Linked DNA regions of Mus musculus: all the other regions are reported to be linked to region 2. Evidence: microRNA targets listed by miRTarBase, many of them from high-throughput screens and not tested one by one. Region 2 holds a microRNA gene; each other region holds the end of a gene's coding sequence.

Region 1 (5,096 bases), not on the chromosome of region 2:
TTCTAATTGTCGGAGTGAGGGAGCAGGATAGTGGCTCCATCACAGTCATATGGCAGCCAGACGAAAAGACTATAACCCTCAACCCGGGTGACCAGCCTCTGCCAGCCAGCCGCACTTACAGTCTGTGGTATTTCTCTAACCTGGTATTTACAGAACTCACCTTGCTCTTTGCACAGCTGCAGCATTATCTTGGCCCCAGCTCTGCTGTGCTTCAATGGTTACAGTTCCCTCCCCAGCTTGCAGAACTCCGCCATGCTCACAGCACCTATCCTCGAGGCCAAGCTCTTTGGGATCTGGCTTCCAAGGGGTAGGCGAATCAATGTCAGTCATTTAGATGGGTACTCAAAGGGACACAGAGCCCAACAAGATGTCATCTGGAACCTTCCAAGATGCAACGATGGGGTGGGATGAGGGTCAGTCAAGTCTTGATTGAGACTGGGGATCGCATCCAGTAGAGTCCCAAAGGTCCTTGATGACATGGCTTGCCAGAAGGTGGCCTTCATACAAGGGACATCCCGAAGAAGACGGAGAGACAGTGAGGGGAGGGGAGATAGAGCAAAGCCCCATAGAAGGCCTTGGAGACTGATTAGCACAGACCCAGACCTTGACCTTGACCATTAGTTCAACTTGGGTTGAAGACTCACCTATTCCAGAGAACCAGAAATACTGTGTTATCTCAAAATTATGCAGTTTCTCAGGCTACTCCTGGGGATTGCTACCAGCCCAAGTGTGCAGGGGACTGAGGGGAGGGCTGTGAGGGACCTAACTGAGAACATATGTTAGGATTGAATCTAAGGGCTGTGTCTTGCTTCTATTATTTCACTAACAGTGCGGTCTCCAAGGGGGTGTGGGGAATTGAGTGATTACCCAAATGAATTTGTACATTACACAAAGAACGTAGGTGCTCCCAGCTCTGCACAGCAAAACTAAATCTCTCATCTCACCTCTATCCCCAGGACCACATGGCTATCCCCAGAACATGGCTCCCCCTGGACCATGTGGCTCCCTCTAGACCATATGGCTTCCTCATCCCAGAACCACATGGCTTCTCCTACTCCCACGACCACATGACTCCCTCCCAGGGCCACATGACTCCCCATTCCAGGACCACGTAGTTCCCCCCAAGGACCACATGGTTCCCCTCAGGACCACGTGGCTCCCCCATCCCAGAACCACATGGCTTCTCCCACCACCACCAGATGGCTCCCCCCAGGACCACATGGCTCCCCTTGAGGACCAAATGGCTCCCCCCCCCAGGACCTGTAGCTCTCCCATCCCAGGACCACGTGGCTTGGCCCCAGGACCACATGGCTGCTCTATCCCTACCCTAGCAGCCAACACTGGTGCTCTGCTCTCTTTTCTCCTAAGGAGATGCAGACCATCAACGGGCCTTCCCACAGCTGCTGCAGAATGACTGACATCTGGACTCCTCTCCATCCTGCAATGAGGTCGCCTGAAGCTTTGGTAATCACACCCTACGGAGTTCACAGACTGTTGCCAAAATGCACAGCGCAGGGGACTGGCGAGTGCACTGAATCATAGCGAAGGGATTACAAAGTGCAAACCGAGTCCTGAAACTGCTATGACATGAAACAGCCCATTTAAAAACCTGACTCTGGCTTAGGCTTGAGTCAGGCCTTGGCTTGCTGCTCTCAGAAGGTGGACCGCCATAGCACCTAGGCCCAGGTGGGTAGCCTTTGTGACATGAAGACAAGAGATGTCTAGAAAAATTGATGTGAGATCATAGACAATAAAGTGTGTATGAAGGAGAGCTGGGAAGGCCACTCCAGAAATGAGGACTCCAGGGTGTAAGGCCAGAGCATCCGCTGGGGGAGTCCTCAGAATGAGGAGTGGTAAGCTCAGAAGCTGTACCTCAGGGCTTTACTGTGCATGCGTGTGTTTGTGCGTGTGTGCGTGTGTATGTGTGTATACACATGTGTGTGCGTGTGTGTACACGCGCATATGCATGTGTGGGTGAGCGTGTGCATGTGTGCGCGTGCGTGCATATGTAGTGGATGCACACATGTGCACACGTGTGTATTCACGTGTATATGTATTTCTGTATGTGGGTGCACACATGCCTATGGGTCTGACCTAAGGGGTCAGAGAATAAATAACTTTTTTGAGACAAGGTTTCCCACTGTCCTGGAACCTCACAGAGCACGCTAGGCTAACTGGCCAGTGAGTTCCAGGGATCTGTGAATCTGCCGTTCGCTGAGATGGGATTACAAGGGTGGGCCACTGTACCTGACTTTTACAAAGCGTCTAGAGATCAGTCTCAGGTCCTCATGCTTGCAAGCAAGAGCTGCAGTCACTGAGCCATCTCCTGGGCTCCCCTGATGCTTTTTAACAAGAAACTGCAGTTCTCTGCGACTGATGTACCGATCATGATGACAAAATTTGGCTTAACAATGGCTTGTTTATCACTCATCAAGAATCGCATGATCATGACAATAAGCCGGGTGACCAGTGCAGAATAGAACTCCTTAGTGACAGCCTCAGCTGTGGAGGTCTCTTTACCTGCTCAGAGCAATCATGGAGGCCCTTAGGAGAAACCTGTGTTCTTTCCATATTGGGTGAAAATGAGAGAGCAAGGAGCTCGTGGGAGTCAGGAGGCCCATGCTGCTTGTGTGCTTGGGTAACAGTACATCTGTATGACGGCCATCTGTTCACATTCTTGGACAAACTAAGACTGTAACACAAACCCCTAAGAGTCGGCGAAGTTTCTGCTAGACAACTGTTCATCAGCAAAGAAGCACAAACGGAGACTACCACCGTTCTGGTTCGCCGTGAGAGGCCAAGCTCATTTTATTAACATACATTCTGCATTCTAAGAACTAGTAACTTCATATTGTAAACATTAAGCATTACAGAGTTAAAATTCAAGGCCACATCATATGTTTTGATTGTCTCTTGTGTGTGTGTGTGTGTGTGTGTGTGTGTTTGTTTGTGTGTGGTGTGTCTTTGGCTGGCCGAGGTCAACTCGTAGTGTATAAATGCATAAGTTATATAATTATTATATAAAAAGAAAAAACCCATTGACTTGTAGACTTCGTTCTGACGAACGCACAGCGTTCGCGACTCATTAAGGAAAACTGGAGCCCACCTACCCACAATGCCTGTGTGGTCTCTGACCATGGTGGCTACCAAGGTCACCTCTCGACTGCTCCCGGGAAGGACAAAAGCCTCCACCGAGTGCTGAGGTTCTGAATTTTTGTTAAAAAATATCAGACAATTCCAGTTATGATTTCCTTTTCACAAAGAGACATATTTTTGGTTCTGAATACTACTGCTCCCAGTCCTCCACAAATCTGTGTCCTTACAACACTGACAGCATCAAACATCTCTCAACTCATGCCCTTTGGTCCCAAGGTGCCCTAAATTCAGCTGTGGTGGCTTGAGCAGCTGCCTTCTATCCTTTCCTTTCCTCCTCTTCTCCCTCTTCCTCCTCCTCTCCCTCTCCCTCCTCCTTCTCTCCCCTTCCTCTCTCTCCTCTTCTTCCTCCTCCTCTCCCTCCTCCTTCTCTCCCCTTCCTCTCTCTCCTCTTCTTCCTCCTCCTCTCCCTCCTCCTTCTCTCCCCCTCCACCTCTCCCCCTTCTCCTCTCCCTCCTCCTCCTCTCCCCCTCCACCTTTCCCCCTTCTCCTTTCCCTCCTCCTTCACTCCCTCCCCCAGCCCTTCCTCTACTTCCTCCATTTCAGCTTCTCTCCTACAATCTCATACTCCCAACAACATGCACAGCCCCCACCCACCACATGGCTCACATTTCCCATAATACTGAAAAGGAGATGAGACCCTGGGTCATCTTCACAGTTTGACAGAGCTGGCAGCTCTCTATCAAATGGAACGAATCTGATTTCAAAGAAAACAAGCAAATGCCAGCCAAGAAAGTCCACAGCCATTGTGGTCTGTGGAGGGGCCCGCCATCTCTGTTTTTGTCTGCTTCTTCTTTGGTTTTGACATGGTTTCTATTTTTAAACACAGGTAGTTTCCCTTCAAATGACATCATACATGGTGTGTTAGGCCAAGTCTGTTCCTGTTCTATTGCTTTCACTCAATCCTGGTAGGTCAAGCAAGGTCCCACACTCTACAGTTTGTACACTACTTAAGGCCACTTCCTTGGGCAGTTGTTCTTTTTGGTCAAGCTTTTCTACATACAATGTCTTTGACAAGGGTGGACCACAGGTTATATGTCCATGTACAGTATATTTTGAGCTTCTTCTATTTCTGTAGTAATACTTGGGTGGCACCCACCCTCCCCTGCGAGTCTTTGGTTTTTTTTTCCCCCCCCAGCTTCCTTCCCCAGCTCTGGCCAACCGTTTCCACTCCTCACGAGGCACTTTTGATTTGTGTTCGCTGAGTTTGTGGCGACTGCTAGGCGATTGTACACTGTTGGGAAAGGCCTCCATCTGGTCTCTAGTAGTAGGTGCCCAGGTGAGAGGGCATATGGCTGGCTGGGAGCCTAGTGTTCGGGTAGATGCCCCCAGTCGGTGAATTCCAGTATGGGTTCGGGGAAGCAAAGAAACTGGAAGATGTGACTGGGAGAGCGGGAGGGTGGGGAGACACAAAGTTCATCTTCTGGGGGTGGGCGTGATAGGAGCCCATGTATGGCAGGTCGGAGGGGTACTTGTACAGGGACGACTCAGGAGGGTGGGGCTGCAGGGCCTGGGCAATCCCGTGGAAGTCAAACTTGTAGGCGTAGCGCTTCCCGTGCACCTTGGTCATGATGTTTTTGTCGTAGTAGTAGCGGAGGGCGCGGCTGAGCTTGTCATAGTTCATGTTGGGCTTGCTCTTCCTCTCCCCCCAGCGCCGAGCCACCTCGTCCGGGTCTGTCATCTTGAACTCCCCGTTGGTGCCTTCCCAGGTGATGCAGTTGGAGTTGGAGCTGTCTGACAGGAGTTCGAGCAGGAACTGCCACAGCTGGATCTGGCCACTACCTAATGATCAGGAGGGACACAAAGCCAATCAGAACCAAGGACAGAAGGTTCAGTCCTCAATGATAGACCTCCTGACCAGGTCTGGTCTTCAACCCCAGCCCCATCTCTCTGCTCCTGGGCTGTTGTGACTTTTGACTCTTGGCTCCTCGTTTATCTAGAGA
Region 2 (5,096 bases):
TGGGTGGGATTTGAACATCTCTCTGTTAGGATAAAATGGATGGGCTGGCACCCCTGAAAACCTTTTGTGGTGGGTGTGAGATAAACTCTGTGAATCAGAATCAGCAGACCCATTCCATCACCACCACCACCACCTCCTCCCTTGAGGCCCTCATCTTTTCCCTAAAGTGCAAGGTTTGTATCAGCAGATTTCCCCCTTCATAGAAAGCAGTAAAAGTCCTGCACTGTCTCAGGCTAGGACTCTACCTCCATGGGACTCCTAATGGGGGGACTCCAGCCTGCCTGGACGGCAAAAGAACCAAAGGCGACACACATTTGAACTACACCTAAGACACAGTCGTGAAGCTATGTGACCACCTTGGTGTAGGAAGGACTGGCTCTTACAAAAATAGCAAAGGAGAGGGGCCAGGGAAGAGAAGGCTCTGAGTACCGGGGCAGGCTCTGGGGAAGCCCCAGCCCATCCGTGAGACGTGGAGGCAGGGAGTGCTGGGCAAGCAGGCTGAGAGAGCTGCTCTGCTTTCCTCAGAAATGAGGTCACCACCAGCACACAGGCTCCCAGGTGCACCAGGAAGGGGGAGCAAGCCCAGTAGATGCAGTTGGGGGGAGGGAGGCTCCTGGGTCCTCAAACACGCGAGTGACCCTTCACAGGCCTAAGAAACGGGAAGGAAAAGATGAAAGGACCTCGAACCCCTTCCTTCCACCCAATGAGTCCCTGAGAAGGAGGCACAGAGACAGCTGCTTTCCTGCCACCGCGTTTAATTTTGTCTAACATTCCAAGGCAATGCAGTGAAAAACTCTCCATCTACCGTATGGAAGCCACACCTTGCCCCTCCCCAGACCCAGGAGGTTCTCCTTTGTATCACTGAATTTATTTTTACTTTTACACAAGTCACCTTTTTGTTGTTAAGATAATTTTGCTAAGCAAAGGGTGTGGGGGGGGGGGAGGAACGGCTGGTAGGCACAAAGATGGAAAAAGATTTCTATTATCACAAGGGGGCTGGGCAGGTTCTGGATAGAGGCTGAGAGACCAATCTTATAAATAACTAAGGCAAGAGGCTCTTGGGATTGAACTGGGCCAAGATGGAGGTAAGGTGACCTAGGTAGTGCCCACCTCTGCACTTCTGCGCTGTGTGTGCTACTCCCTAAGGAGTAGGCCCTCACCCCCCAGATCTGCTTCCTTAATATGTTCAAGGAAAAGAAAGCGGGTCAAGTCAGGATGGTAGCACTAATCCTTCCCAGTCAATCTGCTAAAGCATGTATACACTGATATGTGCCTTAAAGAACCCCAAAAGACCCCAAGCCTTAAGGTATGTGAACTGACTTTGGATCCTTTCTTCCCTACACTTGATAGGGTCCATAGCTGGGTCTACATCCACCACGCGGGAGCCCTAATGGTTTCCTAAGTTGCAGGGGGCCCCAAACTTCAAGATAAGGAAAGAGTAAAGGGAGTGGCAGGAAGGAGAGGGACCTGAAGGCAGAGAAACCTCAAAGGGACCTTCCGCTCCTTGTGGGGCTAAGAACCACGGACACAGAACATTGGCACGCCCCACTCGCAGCGCCCAGCTAAGAGGGACCTGGAGCTTGAGTGGCCGGTGTGCAGCATTGGGTTGCCATGGGAACGGAATTCAGATTTTTTCCCCCAATTGCTTTTTTATTTGCTAGACATTGTAATACATCTTATGTTGCCATTTATTGGGGCGGGAAGGAGAGGAGCTCCAGAGAGCCTGGCTTCCCCCTTAACCAGTTGGGGAAGTTGGGGAGGCTCCGGCCCCAGCCGTCCGACCAGAACTATAGAGGTTTAGAGGATCTGGGCTACGTCTCTCCCGCCCAGCAGCCTGCTCTTGGTTTGTATGCAGGGCAGGGCCGGTCGGTCGGGGCGGGAGGCCCCCCGCCTAGGCCCCTTGCCATTGAGTACACTCCCCGCCAGTTCTGCTCCGCTTCACGCTGCACACAGACCCCCCAACTGCACACAAAGGCAGCTGCCAGAGCCGGTGAAAAGTGATCAAATTATCAAGAACTTGACCTCACCGAGGGGCGAAGCTCCAGCAACCCCCCAGCCGTATGCTAATGGTGCTCAGGGGCTGACTCGTCGAATAATTCGATAAAGGCTGCATTGTTAGCGGCAGGGCAGCCCCCTGCCCACCCTTTTACTCCCCCTACACACTGCCTACCGGTCTCTCTCTCTCTCTCCTCTCTCTCTCTCTCTCTCTCTCTCTCTCTCTCTCTCTCTCTCTCTCTCTCTCTCCCCCTTCCTCTCTCTCTCCCTTCCTCTCTCCCTTCCTCTCTCCGTTCTCTTTCTCATCGCATTTGCATCCCAAAATCCTAGTCTGCAGCTCAGGGCGTGGATTGTTCTAGCCTGATTTATGGGGTGAAGGCAAAGGCTGGCGCCTTCCCCGCCAGCGACCCCTCTGCAACCCCAGCCCGTTCCCTGCCCCCAACCCACTCCACTTCGGGGTTCCAGCCTCGGCGCTGGGAAATGGTGATGGGGGTGCAGGGACCGAGGAGGAGGTGAAGGGAATGCCTCCAGGACACGGCAAGTGTCCCCAGGAGAGCCGAGGTCGGATACCTGGTCCCGGCGTGGCCGCTCCGTCGAGCTGGAATCCCTGGGTGGCGTGGGCTTCTCTGGGCTCCTCTGGCTCCTGTGGCCAGGGCGGCCGGCCGGGCCATCGCACGCAGAAGTTGTGAGAGTCATTTCTACTTTCGGTTATCTAGCTTTATGACGGCTCTGTGGCACTCATACAGCTAGATAACCAAAGAGAGAAACGGGCCTCCCATTCGCCGGCACCGCTGCCGCGCTGTGGGCCCCACGTGCCGCCGCCGACCCGGCGCGGGGGCCTGAGCGGACTCCGCTCCCGCAGCCCCGGGCGCACGCGGAGAGCCAGAGGGGACCGACAGACACACAGACACACGGACTCCCGCCACCCGGATCGCCCAGCTCCCTTCCTCCCTCGCCCTCGCGATTTCTCCATCCCCAGTTCCCCGTCCAGTGCGTGCGCGGCCCGCTTCGACGCCGTCCCGGGGCGCACTCGGGTAACCGGCGCTCTGCGCTTGGGCAGCCTCGGGCGCCCTGGCGGCCCCCAGCGCACTGGACCATCAGCCCTCCTCTCGCAGGCTAATCGCCCCGCGGGGAAGTGACGTCAGTCGGGGGATCGGCCTATCACGGGCTTCCATTCAAATCCCAGCCCCCTTCCCGCGCTCGGCACCACCCAGCCTTACAATGGCCTCGGCGTTCACGGCTTCTGCGCCGCGAGGACAGGGGAGCGCCTCTTCTGCCCTCAGAAGCCTTAGGCCTGCTTGCTTGGATGCACACAGTCTGGCCTTTCTCTCAAACCTCTCTGACCTCCCAGCAACGTCTTAGGTGCCTGGCAGCCACCGCAGACCACCAGAGTTAGAGTTTGAGGGAAGAGGTTTAAGGTCGAGGTCTCTCCAAGGCAACCAAGTGAGCGCAGGAGAGGCTGCGAACCGGTCACTTTATCCTTAAGGTCTCTCTTCCTTTTTTTTCTTGCCCAGCACTGTACAGACACCGCGGTAGAGACTGGGGATTAAGGGAAGGAGTGGGTGTCTAGATCAATGTATCCCATATATATTGCCTGACTTGTAGGGATTCCCATGGCATGCTTCGCTCAAACCAGGTCCTAAATGTCGGCACCAGATTGTTAGCCCTTTCCCTCTGACCATTCCTAGTACAGCCAAGGATATGTAATCAATTGTGCCCCTGCGCCTTAAAGATATCCAAGGCCGTAATTGGGCTCCTATTCACCTCCCATAAAAATAATCAGCTCCTGCCATCTTTCTGCTCACAGCACACCCTAGCCCACTTACTCCAAGTGACTTTACAGGGCAAAAGAATTGACATTTTGAGGTTTCACAGTAGAATTGAGCCTGGCCACCAAACTGAAGTCCCGTCTCAGTCTCCTAAACGTGGTGGTTTAGAGGTTGCTCACCTGAAACCCATCCTGTCTTCCTTGCTCCTGTACACCCCTCCCACTATGAGCCCTGATTCACCCCCTTCACCCATTCCTGGGAGGCAAAGGATTAAATATGAAAAATTCGATATCTCCTTCCCCCCCCCCCAGTCATCCCTAGAAAGATCTTAAATCCAAGATCTAGAGATTGACTTAACAATAGAGTGGGGGTGGGGGGTAGCGGGTTCCAGGATTCCAGCAGTGACTATGAGGGAGTCCCAAAGACTCTCTGTGCTAAGGCATCCCCAAAGCAGCCCAGATTTGGTGGGGGTACTCATTCAGATCTGTTTTGGTGAGGCGGGGGGGGGGGCACCCCTTACACACTCTCCATCAGCAAATCCCATAAGGCTGGGTTCAAAGAATAGGCCCAAAGTGGGTGATTTGGAAGGGATCAGGGAATTTTTCTAAAGGTATCTAAAGCAGTCTCCCTTAAATGACACATCTGGATTTTTTTTGTTTAATACCAGGCTTTGGCACCACACCTCTGTACCCCGTGCTTGTTTTAGATTCGTCCTATTTTTTATCTTGACCCCAAATCCAAGGTGGGCTGCATCCCCACTGCCATCCCTGTCAGCCAGTGAGCAAGCCAGCTAGCAGTTACACACCTCTTTCCAAATGCCACCTCACAGACAAATCCTTGTCTCAGAAAAAGGACACAGGCTAGACTGAAAAGCATCAGAGAAACAGAGGGGCCGACCTACCGACAGCAAGGCCCAGGAAGGAACCTCGAATTTGGGCCTGCCTGGTTAATTCTAAAGGATTTTTCATAATTAGGAGGTGTCCCTTTCTTCTCCTCCTACAGCCTCTGGAATCTACACCCTCTTCCATTTAGCTGTGTGTCTGTCAGTGTGGGCGGCCTCCTGCGCTCTAGTCCTTCTGGGCCACCCTGAGCTTGGATGGGTGGAACTGAAGAGGCAGAGGGAACTGTGCAAGCACGATTCACCTGAAAGAGGGGGAGGGAGAAGAAAGAGGGGGAGTGGGGAGCAGGAGAGAGGGGAAAGAGAGAAGGAGCGTTCTCAGAGTGTGATTTAAGCAGGACGCTGCACAAAATGGCTCCTCGGCTGTGAGGTTCATGGTTATAGCACGCTGGAGCCCTGGCCTGAGAGCCTAGGGCTGGTTAGGAGTCTGGGAG
Region 3 (5,096 bases), not on the chromosome of region 2:
GCAAGTATGTGTTTCTAGAGCTGATAGATCTCCACACTCCAGATCTATGCATTGACCAGGAACGGTAGCTCACACATAGAATCCTGGCAAGGCTGAGGGAAGGGCCAGCCTTGTCTAAAGGAAATTGTCCTTCTAAATTATATGTGGGTGTGTGCAAGTACCCAGGAAAGCCAGAAATGTCTGATAACCCCGAAACTATAGTTACACCTAACATGGGTGCTGGGAACTGAACTTGGGTCCTTTGCAAGAGCAGCAGGTGTCCTTAACCCCTGAGCCCCATTACTCTTCTCCAGCCCCTTAGGTGATAATTTATCAAATGGGGGTTGGAGGTAGTAGCATGTGATTATAAACCCAGCATTGAGAAAGAGAGGATGAGGCAGGAGGATTGCAGATTTGAGGCCAACTTGAACTATACAATAAGATGATGTTCACTAAACAGAGTCAGGAATAGTGGGGGAAATTTTCCACTTGAAGGGTGCTGCATTTTCCTGATGTGTTCTGTCCATTGTGTTTAGAGAAGCTGCCCGAGAGTGCCGCCGGAAGAAGAAGGAGTACGTGAAGTGCCTGGAGAACCGTGTTGCTGTTCTGGAAAATCAAAATAAAACTCTAATAGAGGAGCTAAAGACTTTGAAGGACCTTTATTCTCATAAAAGTGTTTGATTCTTTAAAGAGAAAGTATTTTTTGTGGACTTTAAAGCTTAAAAATTAGGTGGATTTCTTTTTAGTGGAGTTCTATAAATTCAAAGGTCAAAGAAGCTACTTTGTATTAGGTTTTCACAAACAGACATGATGGAGGGAGAATGGAGATGACCTGCAGGAAGCTACTGTCTCAATTGGAAGCTCCGAAAAGATAGAGTGCTCAAGGAATGGACTTTCAGCAGTTTAAATAGAAATAATGGTCAGCAACGAAAATGGCAGGCGACGTTAGTGAAGCAGTCCGTTCCTGCTACGTCTGTATTTCTCTGTTCCCTAAAACTTGCCTTTGTGTGTGTGCGCGCGTGTGTGTGTGTGTGTGTGTGTGTGTGTGTGTGTGTGTGTGTGTGTGTGTGTGTGTGTGCGTGCGTGCCTCATTTCTGCCAATAAATTTACAAATGTAAAAGCATAAAGCGTTACTAAGTATGTAAATTATGTGGTCTGATTGTGTCGTAATGTCAGGTATGTTAAATGAGTTTTTAGCAGTTAGTTTGGTTGGACTCGATTGGTTTGGAGATCTCCTAAATGGCGTGGAGACACATCAGCCTGTGGTGGAGGTGGTTTGTGACTTTGCTTTGTCAGAATGGAAAGAGAACTGTCTGCAAGTTTGACAGTTTAATAGTTTGTTTTTTGCTTCCTCTGATAAGGGCAAGTACATAATAGATTGGTTTTGTTTTTTTTGTTTTTTGATTCTCTAATCCTGTGTGCAGTTGAAGATCATTCTCTTGCGCTTTAACAGAATGAAGTGTTTACAAAGGCCCTCAAATGTTTTAAATAACCTGAATATGCACACCAAAGCTTTCCTGAGGGGTTTTATAATCATCTTACCGTAAGGTTTGTCAGGTTCTAAAACAGTTACTGAGGCAATCTTACATTGAGACTATTGTGTAATGTAGCCCATGGTACCTTTATAAAAGAAGTGACTGCCGATATATTTTTATAGTGAATCTTTATAAATTCTAATGTTGAGTTTTTAATGATTATTTTAAATGTTTATATAGTTTGTTTAGCAAAAAAAATTTTGTATCTCAAAGTATCATTTTTATATTATGAGAAGAGTAAAATTTTCAAATTGGCTGATAATTGAATTGTATGTTTTATATAAAGTTTTATCTAAAGTTTCAGCTGTGGTCAGTACACCAGCATTTAACCTCTGTATTCTAATCTGTGTTCACTTGGAAACTGCAGAACTGTTGTGTACCTACAGAGTATGTTTCATATTGTCTGTGAAATTAAAAAACATTTGATAAGATTAAGTTTTCGGAATGCAAAACATGTTTGATATAACAACTGCCAAGCCCACCAGCAGCCACTGTGTGAGATACTCACTGAGGAATTTTTAGCCTTAAAGTGCAGCCAGATTCTAAGCCTGGGGTCTGAGTGTGCTTTTCAGTAGGGTGCACTTGTGCTCTGATTCAGGAAGAACCAGTTAGAGTGAACAGGGAAGTTGCTGTTCTGTGGAGCCCTGGGACCTCACACCAGTGGTCAGTCACCTCGTCAGTCTGCAGTGGACCCCAAGGAGGGTTCATCAGTTGGAGCACAAAGGCTATTCCTTACTTTCATTTAATTGGTTGCCCATCAGCCTACGTGATCAGGGTGTTCCACATTCCCCTGTCCTTTGTAAGCCAGTGTAGCCACATGTAAGGCTTCTCAGGTCAGTTCCATTTTGTTCTTTCTGTGTTGAACCTCACACTTGGCCAGACCAGCACTCTACAGTGAAGCAGCTTCCCAGGCCAGTAAATGATTTTGTGATGATTTTTAAGCAAAGAGGAAGAATAGGTAGGCATTCCTTGCTCACGGAATGGTAGATAGATGCATTCTGACTTAGAATTGTCAGTGAGTTGCGGTGATGGTGGTTCACATTCCCAGGAAGTGCCACAAAGAAGCGGGGTATGGTGACGCACGCCTTTATTTAATCCCAGCACTTGGGAGGCAGAGGCAGGTGAATTTCTGAGTTCGAGGCCAGCCTGGTCTACAGAGTGAGTTCCAGGATAGCCAGGGCTACACAGAGAAACCCTGTCTTGAAAAACAAACAAACAAACAAAAAAAAAAGTGCCACAAAGTTAGCACCAGAGAGTAATGCCTGAGGGCTAAGGAGGCAGTCAGGACGCAGAGCAGATCTAAACAAGTAATACGCTATAAAGTAAGACTTGGTCTCACTCTAACGCACATGCAAGGCACTCTGTCCACCAGGCTAAAGAGTCCAGGGCATAAAAGCTGGGATTGAAGCAGTGGTTAACCCACTGTAGCGTGTGGTGCACACCTGGGATCTCAGTTGAGACCAAGAGCCTGAAACAGGAGGACCAAGAATTTAAGACCAGGCTGGGTGTGGCGACACACACTTTTTAATTGTATGTGCATTGGTGTTTCGCCTGTGCATCTGTCTGTCTGAGGATGTCAGAATCCTCTGGGACCAGAGTTACAGACAAGTTGTGAGCTGCCGTGTGGGTGCTGGAAGTTGATCTGGGTCCTCTGGAAGAGCAGCCAGTGCTCGTAACAGCTGAGCCATCTCTCTAGCAAGATGACTTACACCTTTAATGTCAGCACCCAGGAGGAAGAGCAAGGTAGATCTCTGAGTTCAAGGCCAGGCTGGTCTACAAAGCACATTCTAGGATAGCCAGGGCTACATAGAGAAGAAACCCTATCTGAAAAAGAGTTTGAGCCTGTTACTTGAGGCCACACATCTCAAATGAGTTTAACCATTCAGTAAACCATTAACCCCATGAATTGCATCTCCAGAGCTGAAGGAAAAGGCTGACTCCCAAAAGTTGTCCTCTGACCACAGCCATCTGGCATGCACCTGCATTCACACACATCCACAGACAGTATTAAATTTATTTTAAAAAACAGAGCAATCCTACCTTCACCCTGGTACATACCTTTAGTAAACTCCAGTGAGGCACTTCTTTTATAGCTCCATCAAGAAAATTCTTCATGGGGCTGGAGAGATGGCTCAGTGGTTAAGAACACTGACTGCTCTTCCAGAGGTCCTGAGTTCAGTTCCCAGCAGCCACATGGTGGCTCACAGCCATCTGTAGTGAGATCCAATGCCCTCTTACTTCTGTAAGTATAGCTACAGTGTACTCACATATAATAAAATCTTTTTTAAAAATTAAAAGGATTCCTCATGTTTGATAAAGGTGTGAATACAAATTCATGTAGATACAGAAAAACATGATACTCTCCCTGAAGCTACACAGTAAATAACAAAAGTGATGTTAAATTCTAGGTTGGGTCAAACCCAAAATGGGTGTTCTTGGTCATTCCAAATGTGTCTTCTCACCAATGGTTTGGAGCTAGAAAGGCTTTTGAGAAAAAAAAAAAAAGCAGAAAGGTTCTGGTCCTTGTCTGAAAATAGTTTAAAAACCTAGTAGGTAAGATTTTTAAAGGTTCTATTTAAGTGTGTCCACTAGGTGGCAACTCTCCTTTAAAATCACACTCTACAAACCTAAACACTAGTATGTAGAAGATAATACAGACCATGGGGTGGCTCAGCCGGTAAAGGCACTTGTGCCAGGCCTGACATCGCAAGTATGGTCACACAGTGGAAGGATGAAATGAACTCCCAGAAGTTCTCTGACTCTTACATGTGCATCGTGTCATGCATGTATGCACAAGAACATATGAAAATGTCATAAAGCAGGAAAAGTGTGTACTACCCAGGACAGGTGACACGAAGAGGAGAATGCATACAGGAGGCCCCACAGACCCTTTCTTAGGATTTCTTCCCCACAGGGAGGCAGCTACTTGAGTTTAGTGTGCCTATGCAATGTGTGTATGTTCACTACATATATTCATAGAGATGGTGTAATTCCAGTCCTGGGGCTAAGGCATGAGTCCCAGGCCAGCCTGGGCTCAACAGCAAGTTCATGTTTGAAAAACACACTTGTAGTCTCCCCTTCCCCAGCCTGAAACCTGCTTGAAAGACAAAAATCTTAGAGAGTGAAGAGTAACATCACAAAGCTGCTTTTGGGGAAGCTCAGGTACTTTATTCAGTTGCAAATTGTAAAGCTAAGGCTAGTCTCTGGCCTCCTGTCGGGGAACTGGCTCAGAGAGTAGCAGGAAAACAGCTTTCCTGGGAGCTTTAGTTTCCAGCTGAATAGTAAGCAAAAGAGGAATTTTAGTCCTCAAGGTGATACTTATAAGAAGAGTCAGAATCTGTGTTCATCTGACGAATTAATCTCTCTGGCAGCCACCGCGCTCTATCTTTATCTCGTGAAAAAACACAAACCGAGCCCCTTCCCCAGATTAGAACCGGATCTGGACCCTTCTATTCGCTAGTCAGTGGGTCCTTTCATTTTACCAATGCATAACAATTAGAAGTAACTAGATGCCAGTGGCGATCCACTGCAGACTGACCTTTAATATTGGTTGCAAAATATTTAGAACAAATAAGGTAAAGG
Region 4 (5,096 bases), not on the chromosome of region 2:
TGGTAGCCTCCTCCACCATGTGCATCCCTCTGGTAGCCCTGGGGACTTTTGTCACACGCCACTTCAAGATCAGAGAACAGTTTTCTGCAGCCTGAGAACTGGAGGTCCCACAGACTTCCTGTCAGTCACTGTTTCACAGCCACTCCCTATATATCCAGCAGTGGGAGGTCTACAGCTGCTTTTTAAAGCCACAAGTATTTTCTGCTTCCTGAATCTGCAAGGAAAATTAAATTCTCTGTATTAAATTGTAGGCTGACAGAAACCTAACTCTGACCATAAATGCTGAGGCTTTTACCCTTTTGTTTTTGTTTTCAAGACAGGGTTTCTCTGTGTAGCCCTGGCTGTCCTGGAACTCACTCTGTAGATCAGACTGACGTTGAACTCAGATCTACGTGCATCCCAAGTGCTGGGAATAAAGGTGTGCACCACCACTTCCCAACAGCTTTTATTCCTCCTCTTCCATGACGTATACTTTTGTTGTTAAAATTTATACCATTTGTATTATATAGCTCATAATAGATATAATTTTTGATCATTTTGATCTTTAGCTCTCATTCTTTACACACCACTACTACAGTCATGATATGCTAGACCACAAATTTACCTCTAACATTGCTTTTTTTGGTTGAGGTAGAGTCTTGGTATATATGGACCTCAGGTTGGTCTGGACCTATGCATTCCAGGTTAGGCTAGAATCTGTGATCTTCTAGCCATAGCCTCCCCATACTAGCACAACAGGTCATGTGCCACCAGGCCAGGTATATACGTTTTAGAACATTAATTATCCTTTTGTTTTTGTTTAAACCATTCCTTTGCAGAGGGGGTGGGTAAATGGGGAGGGAGCAGCCGATGCCAGCCTGGGTTCAAACACTCTCTTACTTCACCCATCCAGTATTTCTTGAAGCATATTGTATTCTTGACTGACAGGTTTCTTTCTTTTAGTAGTCTGAATGTACAGATAAATCCATTTTTTACAATCTAATGGATATTCCTTTATATGTGACTAGACTCTTGCTAATAGAGAAGGGGAAAATGAGCTGTAGACCAAACAATACAAAATAGAGATGTGGGGGAAAAACCTGGAGTGCTATATGCAACACAAAACTGTTAGGATTTTTTTTAACTAAATCTGATTTTACTATTAAGAACAACTGTGTGGGATGACGTAGTAATGCCCTGGTATACTACACATTTATTACGTAACTTCTTATAACTATGTTGTGAACCTCAAATACAATACATTTTATTAAAAATTAAGTGTGGAAGCCGGGTGTGGTGGTGCACGCCTTTAATCCCAGCACTCGGGAGGCAGAGGCAGGTGGATTTCTGAGTTCGAGACCAGCCTGGTCTACAAAGTGAGGTCCAGGACAGCCAGGGTTATACAGAGAAACCCTGTCTTGAAAAACAAAAAAAAAAAAAAAAAAAAAAAAAATTAAGTGTGAAGACCTTCCTCCCAGTGCCAGCCCTGAAGATCATGTGTAGCCTTTTTTCCATCAATGGATACCGGCTTTAAAGGTTGAAGATAGTGATTGATTCTCTAAGTCTTAAGACTGGGACTTTGCAATCTGGTTCTTGCTGACAAGATACCCACATGTTACAGAATGGTAGCTGTTAGATCAGTTTAAGTTTTTAGGTCTATGAGGTGATGTGAAGATGCCAGGAGCAAATTCAACCTTACAGTTACCTGTCATACCGGGATCTAGCTGGGACTCTTTGAGCACGCACACACATATTGATGTGTGTGCACAGTTCAACTCTAAATTGAGAATCAGAGTTTTGATTTTCAACTCACACTGCCCTAGACTTGTCCAAAATGAGTACTACAGGAAAATTGTGTCATTTCTGAGCAAAGGCTTCTTTCTGTCAGGAAAACTGAGAGTGTCCCAAGAGAAGTTAGCGTCACTGTTGTGAGAGCCAAAGTATAGCTAGGGAGCAGAAAAGCAGCCAACTCTGCAGGGTACACAGGAAGGAGGAGAAATCTTATAAATTAAAAACAAAAAACAGTCATTGAGATTTAAAGGTCACTTGACATCACATACCAGGCTGACCTCTCAGTCTATTACCCAAAATTGATCATGGATAGAATGAGACCTGAAGTGACAACTGTCAAAACTTGTCCTTGGAAGCGAGCACAGAAGAAAATACATACTATTTTCCCATTCATTGGTTACAATCTGTAGCAATTACTCACCCATACTTCCTTATCACCCTGCAACCTGTATCTCTTTGAAACAAATTATAATTTGAAAGTACAGATAATTTTATGGATATTAAACATCACTAAATGTTATATATTACTAAATGTTGCCTTAGCCTTATCTATAAAAAAACAAAGCTATAAAAAGTGTCTAAGGTGATTACTGGAAAACAGTTTAGAAGTTATTTACCTTGTTTACTTGTAGTGACTAGTATTTCTATAATGATCAAACACTGCTTTAAGATTAAAAAAAAAACACGATAAAAACAGAGAAACAGTACCAACAGCGGTTAGAAAAGAATATGGCATTTTATTTTTGCATATGGATGTACAGTAAATGAGTTAAAGAAGATCACTGCAGGGCTGTCAAACACTGATCACTTGCAGCCTAACCCTCTGACATTAGTCCTTGCGAAGCAGCCACACTAGTGGTTCAGATTTGGTGTTTGCTGTAGCTGTTGACATGAAGTGCTTACTGTAAAACGCCCAGTAGCTTTTGAGTAATATATTACAGTAGACACAGCTGGGCTTCAATGTTCCATCTTTGGAACAAACTATGCTTATTTACATGTCAGAACAGGTGGCTCTATTTACTTACTCTATTGTGAGTTTTAATGACTGATTTTAAGCTACACAGAATTTCCCCAGAGTTCCTAAAAGCAATAACCCTTATTGTTTATAAAAGATAATGTTGAAAAAAGGTAATGTTAAAGGCGCTTTTAGAAATATTTATGGATAACATAAGGTACTATTAGAAAACCTACATATTTTAAAGCAAAACACTGATGTACCATAGCAGTGTTTAACTGAATTGTTTTAAGATAGTGCAATGATACTACCTTATATACTGTTCTAATATCTAAACCTCATAATTACAATTTTAATCTAGAACCTGTCTTACAACTATGCACAGCTTCTGAAGCGTAGTTTTCAGTCTGTTTTATGCATAAATTAAAGTTGGTCCTTGATTTGGAGAACTATGGCTACCTGGAAGCACTAAATTTCAGACACTTATTGACAGCCAACATAAACCTTGACAGGGTGATAGAGCCAGAGTGCCATGCATGGAAAAGCAACTGCTACCCCAAGTGAGAATCAAATCTAGTACAAGACCTTCTCTGAGGCCTGCATGTCTCAATGAGGAACCAATAATAAAAAATCCTACAAGCTAGGAGAGGAAGCAGCTGGCCAGTCTAGTGTATTTCCCACAATGGAGCAGTTCTTAAAAAGAGGCGACTTTGGACCTTTAGCATAAGAGACAGACTTTACATTCTTTGATTTCATTTATACCTTTTAAAAAAGATAAACTATATCTGAACTTTTCATGACATATAAGCTGCTCGGGCACTACAGCAGCTCAAGCTGGCTGAAGCCAAGAGGCAGCTACTAGAAACTTCAAATGACTCTAGATCCCATTCTCCTCTTCCTTACAATTGTGAAATTACAATTTAGCAAACTGCTTGACCTTTAAGAGACACTCTATAAGCATAGTAGAATTTGCATATTATTAAACTCTTAAGAAAAGCCCAAAGATACATGGAAAATATGCTTGCTAACAGTGACTGCTTTACAATGGCAATAATGAAACAGAGCTAGAAAAATAATTTGTTTTAAATAATGTGAAAGAAGTTAAATTTTTTAAAATATATTACTTATCTGTGAATTCTGACTTGACAGTGAATAGATTTCTTCTGTTCTGTGAGCTGAATTTAAGCTACATTTTAATTATACTATAGCTTCAAATCATAAATATAACCATCCCAACGGTAACGAGATCATCAAAGCGGTAATATCAGATCAATTCTAAGACATCACCCAGCCCAAAACCACAGGAGGTACTTTTGGATAAAGGCTTTAAGAAGACCTTGGGCTCACGTGGAAAGCAGGTCAGTAAAGACTCCAGTTCTGCATCATGGAGTCTTCCAAGCCAAGCCGCTTTCCACAAACACAAATTCAGTCTATCTTTTCTTTCTGGACCAGTCTGGGAGCATCAACAAAATCTTTGCCATTGTAAAGAATAATAAAAAATGTTCCAATGCTTGCAACTCCCCAGAAGAGGACATATGCCAGTGTTTCTGTCCAAGTGTCACCTGTTGATATTAAAAACAAAGATAATACATCATTTGTTGATACCAGACCTAGTGATCAGTTGTATAGCACAACTTCACACTGAAGTTTATTAGCATGTCCACAGGAAAAATAGAACATCTTAAGTTTTAAACCAGGTGTCTCAATTCTGCAGGCTCGGTAAACCATCATCTGTGGTACCTTAAGAAGTTGTTGCCTCTGTGACAGGGTCCCAGCAATACTGAGGCTACCGACAGATGCCACACTGTGGGAACTGCACTACTTCAGACTACCACACAAATCATAATTATCATTGCGATTAAATGCTTTAGTAGCACAAGAAATTACTACTAACAATTTAATCATAGTTCTACAATCAATGCAATATTATCAAAACACCTATACAAGACACACTTTACAGAATGTATATTTTTAAACTCAACTCAATCATAACATATTACAACAGCATTTAACACAACACTGCTGGTTGAGTTCATAAAGGTTAGCAGCACCCATGAAGCAAAGACCTATTTCGTTTTTCTCTTTGAACAGCTAAGCCTCTGCTCACTTTTCTCCTGCACCTGCCTCAAGTGTGGAAAAACACATGCAGAGTCAAATGGCCAATAAGATCGTTCAAGGAAAAGAAGCCAGACCACGTCAGAGGCTGTGATGCATCTACGTTCCCTCCTGAAAAACACAGCAAGGGCTGGAAATCAGCAACCCCTATCTGCAAGCATTAACTGACAGGACACTATCCATAGAATTCGGTATTATTTTTACTCAAAATTATCCCTAAATTTGCAACATTATCAGTTTTCAAAGCTTTGAGTTT
Region 5 (5,096 bases), not on the chromosome of region 2:
AGGATGGTTATGTATTCTATTTACTATACAGTTAGGTTCAAATAGCCCAAGTGATAGTAATGTGCATCCAGGCTTAAGACCTGATATTTTTAGAAAAGAAAAAAACGCAAAAGATGTAACTTTTGCCCTTAGTACGTTTATAATTTAGGTAAAAGTAACCACACAAACATAAATAAAAAAACAGGAATCATAAATCAATAATGCCAAAAGTGCCTTAAGGGAAACAATATAAATTAAGATTTCCTTTTTTTTTTTCAAGATAGGATCTCATGCTGTAGCCTAGGCCAACCTGAAGTGTACTGTGTAACTAAGGCTAGCCTGGAAGGTAGAAGAATTCTTGTGTCTTACCTGCTGAATGCTATGAATACAGGAGGTCATCCTACACTTGGATTAAAAAAAAGTCACATAGTAATCATCAGAATATGATGGCATTGAATAAGGAAGCCTTCTTGGAAATGAGTGCAGACTTCTTGCCTTGAAAGGAAAGAAAGGTACTATCATTCTAACATCTTCACTTCTGTGTCCAGATGAAAATCTACAGCTGGTAAACCATGAAGCAAATTCTGTGGCCGTGGATGTTGTTCCCCATGTTGACAACCCAACCTTTGAAGAAGATGAAACTCCTGATCAAGAGGCAGCTGTTCGGGAGATTAAATCTTAAAAATCTGTGTCAATAGAAAACTTGAACCGTTAGTTAACAACAGGACTGCCAATCAGGGCCTAGTTTACTATGAATGAACTGGGTAAACGTAAAACAAGAATGATACTGAAAGTGCTGAGGTAACTTATATTATACTATAGTTAAATGGCTTAACATATTTACCCCAGTACCGTTTTCCACAAACTCACCATAACGTTTTTCATAGGCAAGTTTCCTCTTGGTGATAGTGATAGCAACATTTTTAACATTCAGAACCGTCTATGAGTAGTCAGGTTTTTCATTTACAACAACTTTGTTATAAAAAAATATGTTGCTTTAAAAGTGTGGAGTAGCTGTAATCACTTTGTTTTATGATAGTATCATAATTAAACAATACTACTACTTTAGCTTGGGCTCTGTGTGTCGGGGTTTGTCTCCAGGTGCTTATATTGATCTGGAATTTGTTTAAAAAAAAAAAGAAAAAAAAAGCAATGCGAACTTAGGCATTAAGTTGATAGTACAAGATTAAAGCAAAATATTCATTTTAACCTTTTCATTTTAAAATTAAGCTGTGTATGTATTTCATGTGAGTGTTGAGCATAGTTTGTCAGAAAAATATGAACTGAATTGGTTGATCAGTATATTAGTGACACCACACAAGATTATAGACATAAAAAGTTTCTTACAAAAACATTCTAAACTATTTCTCAAGCTTGATGTTTTCAAAAGCACAGGATAGAAACTACCATCAAATTTGAAAATAGTAATAGCTGAACTAAATCGTAGAACATTGGTAACTGGTTACGGTGCAGAATTCATCTGCAGAGAATATTCTGTAAAATGTGTCAAATGTGGAAAATAGTTTCCAAACAATGGTGACTTTGAAAACTGAGTTTACATTTGGCCTTGTGGTCTCTAATTACATGAAATTTAAATTCTGTCCATCTATCTATAATTTTGTGATTGCATTTGTTGGTGTTTGAAAAAGAATCAAGGGAAGGGGGGATTCCAGGTGCCTTAATAAAAAGTTTGAAGCTTCAACCACCAAAGTTAAATAGAGCTATTGAAAAGACGCACTTTATTTCTACTTTGTGTGGCTTGTGTTTTGTTCCCAGTGCAAATTCCCACAGGATTTAGACAAAAATAGAACAGACGTGTATTTTTGTTTGCTGACTATATAATGGATGAAACCATTGCACTCTTGTACACTGATTTGAAAATGCTGTAAATATGCTCTGATTTGTACTGATTCTCTTTAAATATAAAATGTAAATAAAATATTCCAATGAAAGATTGTATCTGGTGTTCGATTTAGCTCTCATGTGCTAGCTAACTTTTGTATCTAATACATCGACTGTTGAGAGGGCAGAATAGTTGTGTGTAAATGGTCGTTGGTATAGTGATCAATATAGACTGAACCTCCAGTGTGATCCTTGCATATGACCTTACACAGAAAGGGAAGAGCTGCCATTCTGATCTCACTGAACAGACTGTGAACTAGATAATAAAGCCGATCAGTAATAAAATGCATGCTTAAAAGTTCTTTATGCCTAACCAGGCAGTCCAAGTATGGGGAAGAGAGGAGGGAGTGGGGCTGTAAAGTGAATAAAAAAAACTAAGAGTTAAATAAAAGGTCTGGACGGCAACCTATATCCATGCCATTCATGACAGGAGGATTGATTCAATCTTTTAAAGCTTTCTTCCAGTTTTCTCTTGTGACTGTATGATTGGTGGGATAATGTTTATGAATCAGAGCCTATCTTCTCTTGTGTTAAACATTTTAAGAATATACAGATACTTGGATCACCTCAGGACCATGATGATCAAAATCAGTGTAAACATATTGCATGTGACAACATGCATGCAATGTGAGTATTCCCTGTATTTTCAAGGAGTTTACGTTCATGGGGCTTATTTTTAGAGAGGTATTTTTTTTGCATCTAAGAACTTAGATCTTAACAAAATTAAATATAAAGCAAAATCATACTGAACTTGGACAAGCCAATCTGACAGAAAAATAAAAGCCCCAAGAACAAGCACAGTTATCAGAAACCCACTCGTTCACACATTCAGGAGTCTCATTACAGTACTAAATTGGAAGCTATAATATATGTACAGAGGACACAGTGCAGACCCATGTAGGCCTCGTGCATGCTGTTTCGGGGAGAGAGGTTTTTTTTTTTTTTTTTTTTTTGGTTTTTCACGACGGGGTTTCTCTGTATAGCCCTGGCTGTCCTGGAACTCACTCTGTAGACCGGGCTGGCCTTGAACTCAGAAATCCGCCTGCCTCTGCCTCCCAAGTGCTGGGATTAAAGGCATGCACCACCACTGCCTGGCGAGAGAGATATTTTTAACTTAGAAAAAAATAAACTATTTGTGTACATGTCTGAGTATATACATACATGTAGTGAAGGGTGGTGTACATAGTGGCCAGAAAAGGCTTTTAGACCTCCCAGAGGTAGAGCTCCAAGTGTTTGGGGAATGTATGCTCAGCTTGTTAACATAGGTGCTGGGGTTTGAACTCAGGTCCTTATTCCATTATCCAAAAGCATCCCCTCATACCAACTGATAGTCAATTCCTGTTCCCATTTCCAGCCCACACATGCATTTACCAGTCTGCCTTTTGTCTCTCTAGGCTTGTCTATTTTAGATATATCATACAAACAGAATTGTTCAATAAAGGTTTTGTGATCAGATTCCCTTTACCATAATATTTTCAAGGTTCACTCATAGAATATAATTTCAGTAATTCATGCCTATCCATTGTTGGGTAATATTCCACCATACAAATACCTGACATTTGTTTATACTTTCATTAGTGACTGAATTCTTAGGGTATTTCACCACTTTGGCCATTATGGATAATACTACCACACACATTCATATGCACATCATTATCTTGATGTATATTTTGGCGTTTCCTGGTATATATAAAGGAGAGGGATTCCATGCCACTTGTGGATTTTATTACTTCCTGCTACTACTATTTGATATACTTTAGCTTAAGCACCAGAATTTATATTATGCTCTAACCTGATAGTCACTACATAGGCTGCTTCTTTTATCAGTGATAGTAGATAATATTTGTATGGTAAGTTATAAACATAAAAATAGGGGCATATGAGTTCATATTTAGTAGAATTCGGGTTTCATATTTTAAAAAAATCTACATTTACCTCACAATGTAATAAACAGACACAACTGAGCTCCTAGGAACATGTCTTCTCCCTTCCATATATAGAGGGATTGTTTATTTGTGAAATATTTTGTTACGGAATTATTAACTCAGACTGTAAAATTTCTTATCATTTACTTGGCTCATTTTTTTTTTGGTTGGAGTTAATTTTTTTAAAGATTTATTTTATGTATATGAGTACACACTGTAGTTGTATAGATGGTTGTGAGCCTTCATATGGTTGTTGGGAATTGAATTTAGTACCTCTGCTCGCTCTGGTCAACCCAACTCGCTCTGGCCCAAAGATTTATTTATTATTATAAGTTCACTGTAGCTGTCTTCAAACGCACCAGAAGAGGGCGTCAGATCTCATTATGGGTGGTTGTGAGCCACCATGTGGTTGCTGGGATTTGAACTTGGGACCTTTGGAAGAGCAGTCGGTGGTCTTACCCACGGAGCTATCTCACCAGCCCTGGAGTTAATTTTTACACCTTAAGCACAATAACTAACAAAAGATTTAATTAAAATATTACATGAGAATAAAAGAAATTAAGGTTTGTGATCATCACTTTGATCTCTAGTGACGTCCTCTACCAACAAAGCTACTTCAGGAATTACTCAACTTTCAGGTGTGTGTGTGTGTGTGTGTGTGTGTGTGTGTGTGTGTTGTATGTGCATGAAGACATGCACAAAAGCTAGAGGAGGACATCAGGTGTCCTGCTCTATCATTCCCTTGAGACAAAGTCTCTCATTGAACCCAGAACTAGGGTGGCAACCAGCAAAGTCCAGTAATCCCATCTCTGTTCCTCCACTCCAGCCCTGGGATTATAGGTGGGAATAGTTGCTCTAGACTTTTGTGAAGGAGGTGCAGCAAACTTTTATTGATGGTACTCAAGAGAGTAGAGAAGGCTCCCTGAGTCCCTCCTGTTATTATGGGGGTCTGGGATGGAAATTGTGAGGGAGATGTTCAGTGTTGGAGCCAAGTTGAGACAGGAACTCCTCAGCAACCAAGGGCCTCTCTCTTGCTCTCAGTGTCCTTGCTGGGGTGGGTGGTCCAGGGTTTCTTACTCCTTGGAGGCCATGTAGGCCATGACGTCCACCACCCTGTTGCTGTAGCTGTATTCATTGTCATACCAGGAAACAAGCTTTACAAAGTTGTCATCGAGAGCAATGCCAACCCCAGCATCAAAGGTGGAAGAGTGGGAGTTGCTATGAAGTTGCAGGTGACAACCTGGTCCTCAGAGTAGCCCAGGATGCCCTTTAGTGGGCCCTCAGGTGCCT
Region 6 (5,096 bases), not on the chromosome of region 2:
CCCGTTGTAGTAATTGCTGTTTCTCCTTCTGTCTTCCTTAGAAGGGCAAAAAGTGCATCCGGACACCTAAAATCGCCAAGCCTGTCAAGTTTGAGCTTTCTGGCTGCACCAGTGTGAAGACATACAGGGCTAAGTTCTGCGGGGTGTGCACAGACGGCCGCTGCTGCACACCGCACAGAACCACCACTCTGCCAGTGGAGTTCAAATGCCCCGATGGCGAGATCATGAAAAAGAATATGATGTTCATCAAGACCTGTGCCTGCCATTACAACTGTCCTGGGGACAATGACATCTTTGAGTCCCTGTACTACAGGAAGATGTACGGAGACATGGCGTAAAGCCAGGAAGTAAGGGACACGAACTCATTAGACTATAACTTGAACTGAGTTGCATCTCATTTTCTTCTGTAAAAACAATTACAGTAGCACATTAATTTAAATCTGTGTTTTTAACTACCGTGGGAGGAACTATCCCACCAAAGTGAGAACGTTATGTCATGGCCATACAAGTAGTCTGTCAACCTCAGACACTGGTTTCGAGACAGTTTACACTTGACAGTTGTTCATTAGCGCACAGTGCCAGAATGCACACTGAGGTGAGTCTCCTGGAACAGTGGAGATGCCAGGAGAAAGAAAGACAGGTACTAGCTGAGGTTATTTTAAAAGCAGCAGTGTGCCTACTTTTTGGAGTGTAACCGGGGAGGGAAATTATAGCATGCTTGCAGACAGACCTGCTCTAGCGAGAGCTGAGCATGTGTCCTCCACTAGATGAGGCTGAGTCCAGCTGTTCTTTAAGAACAGCAGTTTCAGCTCTGACCATTCTGATTCCAGTGACACTTGTCAGGAGTCAGAGCCTTGTCTGTTAGACTGGACAGCTTGTGGCAAGTAAGTTTGCCTGTAACAAGCCAGATTTTTATTGATATTGTAAATATTGTGGATATATATATATATATATATATATATATTTGTACAGTTATCTAAGTTAATTTAAAGTCATTTGTTTTTGTTTTAAGTGCTTTTGGGATTTTAAACTGATAGCCTCAAACTCCAAACACCATAGGTAGGACACGAAGCTTATCTGTGATTCAAAACAAAGGAGATACTGCAGTGGGAATTGTGACCTGAGTGACTCTCTGTCAGAACAAATGCTGTGCAGGTGATAAAGCTATGTATTGGAAGTCAGATTTCTAGTAGGAAATGTGGTCAAATCCCTGTTGGTGAACAAATGGCCTTTATTAAGAAATGGCTGGCTCAGGGTAAGGTCCGATTCCTACCAGGAAGTGCTTGCTGCTTCTTTGATTATGACTGGTTTGGGGTGGGGGGCAGTTTATTTGTTGAGAGTGTGACCAAAAGTTACATGTTTGCACCTTTCTAGTTGAAAATAAAGTATATATATATTTTTTATATGAAAGGCTTGGCTGTTCATTCTTGTAAACTTTTCTTGGTTTTCCCGGGTGTAAGCAAGAAGTTCATATTTATCTTAAGGTAATTCACTAGGAAGTTTACAAATACCTTTGATATGCATGAATCGCACGAAATCAATAGGATTGTGCGTAGCATCCCTTACAATGAATCAAGCAGACATGTGCATCAGCTGTCTAACATGGTTCAAGGAACGCTTTAAGTTCAGCTCTGTGTAGCTGACTCCAGCTTCCACCAACCCCCAGCATACTTCACTCAGCCACTTCTGCTTGGTACATCTGGACATTAAAGCTAATTTATAATCTTTCACATCACAGATTAATCTGTGCCTTACATGGAGAATATGTTTAAATATTAGCTTGTGTTTCACTGTAGCTCTGGTTCTGAACTCGAAAGCCTCACTGTTAAACGGGAAGCATAGACTAACATATACATTAAAATTAAGTCAGATTATAAGCTTTATTGTACAAATTTTATTTTTCTATTGCTATGACAACTCATGGCAAATATAAAGATAGCACAAGTCAATTTTCTATCGATTAATGTTAATTGAAAATGGTTTTTATTTGAAGGTGATTCCACACTATTGTCCCACATTACCAAAATGGTTTATAGGTGACAACATTAAATTCTTTAAGAACCCTGATATAGAAAAGATATAAGATATACCTGGCTGTTACTAGCCAGTGAAACAAACAGAATCACAAACACTCCAGACACATTTTTCTTTTCCTAGATGAGAACAGCTGTGGTTTCCAGAGAAAAACATACCACAGACAGACTAACCTGCCCTGGGATGGTTAGCAATCTTGTAGTCACTCAGAGAGACAAAAATACACCTGAAAGCAGAGACATGCTACAAACAGTGCCCACACCACAAACCAAATGAAAAACTTCCCATGAGAAAAGTATTTCTAGTCACAACACTGGGCTTTAGGGTACACCCTCACAGGTACATGGCAACACTGGTAGCAGCAGCTGCTACCTCAAATAAACCATACCCCAAATAAACACACCCAGGGTACACAAACAGTACATTGCTAGCTCCCTTTTCTTCTCTGTCAACCGATGTCCGGCCACAATCATAAAGAGCCATGGAGAAAGCATAACTCCTGAAAGGAATCAAAGAATTGTGGGGGGAAACAAAGTTGTAGGGAGGAAGAAGGGATTTGAGATGTTTCCAAATTCTGCACACAGAAACAGTAAGTAAATTGCATAACCAAACTCCCATGAGCAGTATGTAACAAAATTAGAAGACAAGACACCCTTGACCCCGAGATAGTAATGAAGACAAATTGCCAACCACCCGAAGGCCTGAGTTGTGTCAGCGGTTGGTCGTGGGAAAAAGGAAAAGAGGGGAGCATGTGATGTTTTGAGAACAAGAGAGATCTCAGGGAAGCAGCAAGTGCTGGCTAGAACTACAGCTGATTTGAGAACAGTTGTAGACATGGGTAGGGGGTTATACCCCTCCGGTACAACTTACATTTGGGGCTGCTTACTGAGACAAGATACAAACACGTAAGAACTGAGTCAAAATTGAGCCAGTCAGGGCAAGAGACATTGAGAGAGAAGACTGAGGTACAAATAGGAAGTTGAGCCTGTGACATGGGCCTGTGACCCCAGCAACTTGGGAGACTTGGGCACTTCCTTGTCTTGCTGCTGTAGCAAAATGCTTGACAAAGCAACGGAAGGAAGGAAGGAAGGAAGGAAGGAAGGAAGGAAGGAAGGAAGGAAGGAAGGAAGGAGGAAGGAAGGAAGGAAGGAAGGAAGGAAGGAAGGAAGGAAGGAAGGACAGAAGGAAGGAAGGAAGGAAGGACAGAAGGAAGGAAGGAAGGAAGGAAGGAAGGAAGGAAGGAAGGAAGGAAGGACGGACGGACGGAAGGAAGGAAGGAAGGAAGGAAGGAAGGAAGGATGGAAGGAAGGAAGGAAGGAAGGACGGAAGGATGGATGGAAGGAAGGACAGAAGGAAGGAAGGAAGGAAGGAAGGAAGGAAGGAAGGACGGACGGACGGAAGGAAGGAAGGAAGGAAGGATGGAAGGAAGGAAGGAAGGAAGGAAGGAAGGAAGGATGGAAGGAAGGAAGGAAGGAAGGAAGGACGGAAGGATGGACGGAAGGAAGGAAGGAAGGAAGGAAGGAAGGAAGGAAGGATGGAAGGAAGGAAGGAAGGAAGGAAGGAAGGAAGGATGGAAGGAAGGAAGGAAGGAAGGACGGAAGGATGGATGGAAGGAAGGAAGGAAGGACAGAAGGAAGGAAGGAAGGAAGGAAGGAAGGAAGGAAGGAAGGACGGAAGGAAGGAAGGAAGGAAGGAAGGAAGGATGGAAGGAAGGAAGGAAGGAAGGAAGGAAGGATGGAAGGAAGGAAGGAAGGAAGGACGGAAGGATGGATGGAAGGAAGGACAGAAGGAAGGAAGGAAGGAAGGAAGGAAGGAAGGAAGGAAGGAAGGAAGGATGGAAGGAAGGACGGACGGAAGGAAGGAAGGAAGGAAGGAAGGAAGGAAGGATGGAAGGAGGACAGAAGGAAGGAAGGAAGGAAGGAAGGAAGGAAGGAAGGAAGGAAGGAAGGAAAGAAGAAAAGGAGGAAAACAGAAAGGGTTTATTGTGACTTACAGTTGAAGGTCACAGTCTAGGGAGTGGGGGCAGAGTGCAGTAGTGAAGCTGATAGGAGATTCAGTGAGAGATGAATGCTAGAGCGGTCAGCTAGCACATTTGTGTTTATTCATTCTAGGACCAGACCATATCCCATGCAACAGTCCTGCCCACACCTGAGGTGGATCGTCCCATCTCATTTAACCCCATCTAGAAAACCTCTCTCAAACACACCCAGAGGCCTGTTGTTCCACTCTTCTTTCTTTGGTTCTAACAAAACACTGACCGAAAACAAGTTGGCTGGACAAAGTTTATTTCTGCTTACAGTATATGGCCCTATCATCGAAGGAAGTGGAGGCAGGGGATCAAGACAGGTGCCTGGAGGCAGGAACTTGAGCAGAGACCATGTGGAATGGGGTTGACTTTACTTGTGTCCCTGGGCTTGTTCATCTCTCTTTCCTACACAGCCCAGACCTACTGCCCAGAGGTGGTACCACCCACAGAGTCTGGGCCCTCTTAGATCAACTAGTTATCAAGCAATCCCCCCAACAATATGCTCACAGGCCAATGCAATGGAGGACACTCTTCAGGTGACGTTCCCCCTTCCCTGGTATGCCAAGTTGACAATTGAAACTATGGCAGTTGTCTTGATGAATCTAGATTCTGTTGTTAGGCCTCAAACCCAAGACAAATGACTGATGTGCTATTTAATATAACAAAGTGGACTTGGCTGCCTGCCAGCTTTGCCCAGAATCCCTCAGTCCTTACCTGTTACGGGGTCCTTCTGGCTAGCATACCCTACCTTCTGGTTTTGGCACCTGATGAATGGAAAAAAGAAAGGATATGACTGCTCCTAGGTATGGTAGAGAAGAAGGTTTATTGTAGATAAAAGGGGAGGGCATCTGGGAGAGCCCAGAGTGAGCCTGACCCTGAGCCATTCGAGGAGAGGGGAAAATAAGAGGGAAGACGGGAGAGGTGGGGGAGGGGGAATCAGGTACAGCAGCCAAGAGGACAAAAGGTGAAAAAGGCAGATAACCAAAATGTAATAAAAATATTATAATATAATCCAAAATATAATTCAAGGCTGCAT

Evidence for each region. The annotated mature microRNA mmu-miR-9-5p reads UCUUUGGUUAUCUAGCUGUAUGA and lies in region 2 at 2,734-2,756, opposite strand. An mRNA with a match to its seed (bases 2 to 7 or 8) in the 3' UTR can be bound and repressed. Matches are read on the target gene's strand: a 7mer-m8 pairs with bases 2 to 8, a 7mer-A1 pairs with bases 2 to 7 and ends in A, and an 8mer does both.
Region 1: miRTarBase lists Erg as a target of mmu-miR-9-5p. Seed matches in the 3' UTR shown: 8mer at 4,266-4,273, 8mer at 3,946-3,953, 7mer-m8 at 3,360-3,366 and 7mer-A1 at 2,962-2,968.
Region 3: miRTarBase lists Atf1 as a target of mmu-miR-9-5p. Seed matches in the 3' UTR shown: 7mer-m8 at 1,485-1,491.
Region 4: miRTarBase lists Sacm1l as a target of mmu-miR-9-5p. Seed matches in the 3' UTR shown: 7mer-A1 at 2,739-2,745.
Region 5: miRTarBase lists Rnf128 as a target of mmu-miR-9-5p. Seed matches in the 3' UTR shown: 7mer-m8 at 1,684-1,690.
Region 6: miRTarBase lists Ccn2 as a target of mmu-miR-9-5p. Seed matches in the 3' UTR shown: 7mer-m8 at 475-481.

The regions. Positions count from the first base shown.
Region 1 is chr16:95,356,392-95,361,487 of GRCm38, forward strand. It overlaps Erg (ETS transcription factor), which reads right to left. Exons shown (of 11, transcript NM_133659.3): 11 at 2,778-4,935. The coding sequence ends at 4,415. Among named protein-coding and RNA genes, the nearest start is that of Gm31641, 99 kb to the left of the region's middle.
Region 2 is chr7:79,502,939-79,508,034 of GRCm38, reverse strand. Mir9-3 (microRNA 9-3) reads right to left here and starts at 2,771; the gene lies at 2,682-2,771. All of the region lies in intron 1 of Mir9-3hg (Mir9-3 host gene), which reads right to left. Gm51285 (predicted gene, 51285) reads left to right here and starts at 2,699; the gene lies at 2,699-2,756.
Region 3 is chr15:100,259,300-100,264,395 of GRCm38, forward strand. Atf1 (activating transcription factor 1) reads left to right here. Exons shown (of 7, transcript NM_007497.3): 7 at 516-1,949. The coding sequence ends at 660. Among named protein-coding and RNA genes, the nearest start is that of Tmprss12, 19 kb to the right of the region's middle.
Region 4 is chr9:123,589,992-123,595,087 of GRCm38, reverse strand. Sacm1l (SAC1 suppressor of actin mutations 1-like (yeast)) reads right to left here. Exons shown (of 20, transcript NM_030692.5): 20 at 2,488-4,287. The coding sequence ends at 4,151. Slc6a20b (solute carrier family 6 (neurotransmitter transporter), member 20B) reads left to right here. Exons shown (of 11, transcript NM_011731.4): 11 at 1-1,265. The coding sequence ends at 95. Among named protein-coding and RNA genes, the nearest start is that of Slc6a20b, 40 kb to the left of the region's middle.
Region 5 is chrX:139,671,208-139,676,303 of GRCm38, forward strand. Rnf128 (ring finger protein 128) reads left to right here. Exons shown (of 7, transcript NM_023270.5): 7 at 528-1,938. The coding sequence ends at 661. It also overlaps the pseudogene Gm6322. Among named protein-coding and RNA genes, the nearest start is that of Tbc1d8b, 11 kb to the right of the region's middle.
Region 6 is chr10:24,597,274-24,602,369 of GRCm38, forward strand. It overlaps Ccn2 (cellular communication network factor 2), which reads left to right. Exons shown (of 5, transcript NM_010217.2): 5 at 42-1,410. The coding sequence ends at 338. Among named protein-coding and RNA genes, the nearest start is that of Gm15270, 4.0 kb to the left of the region's middle.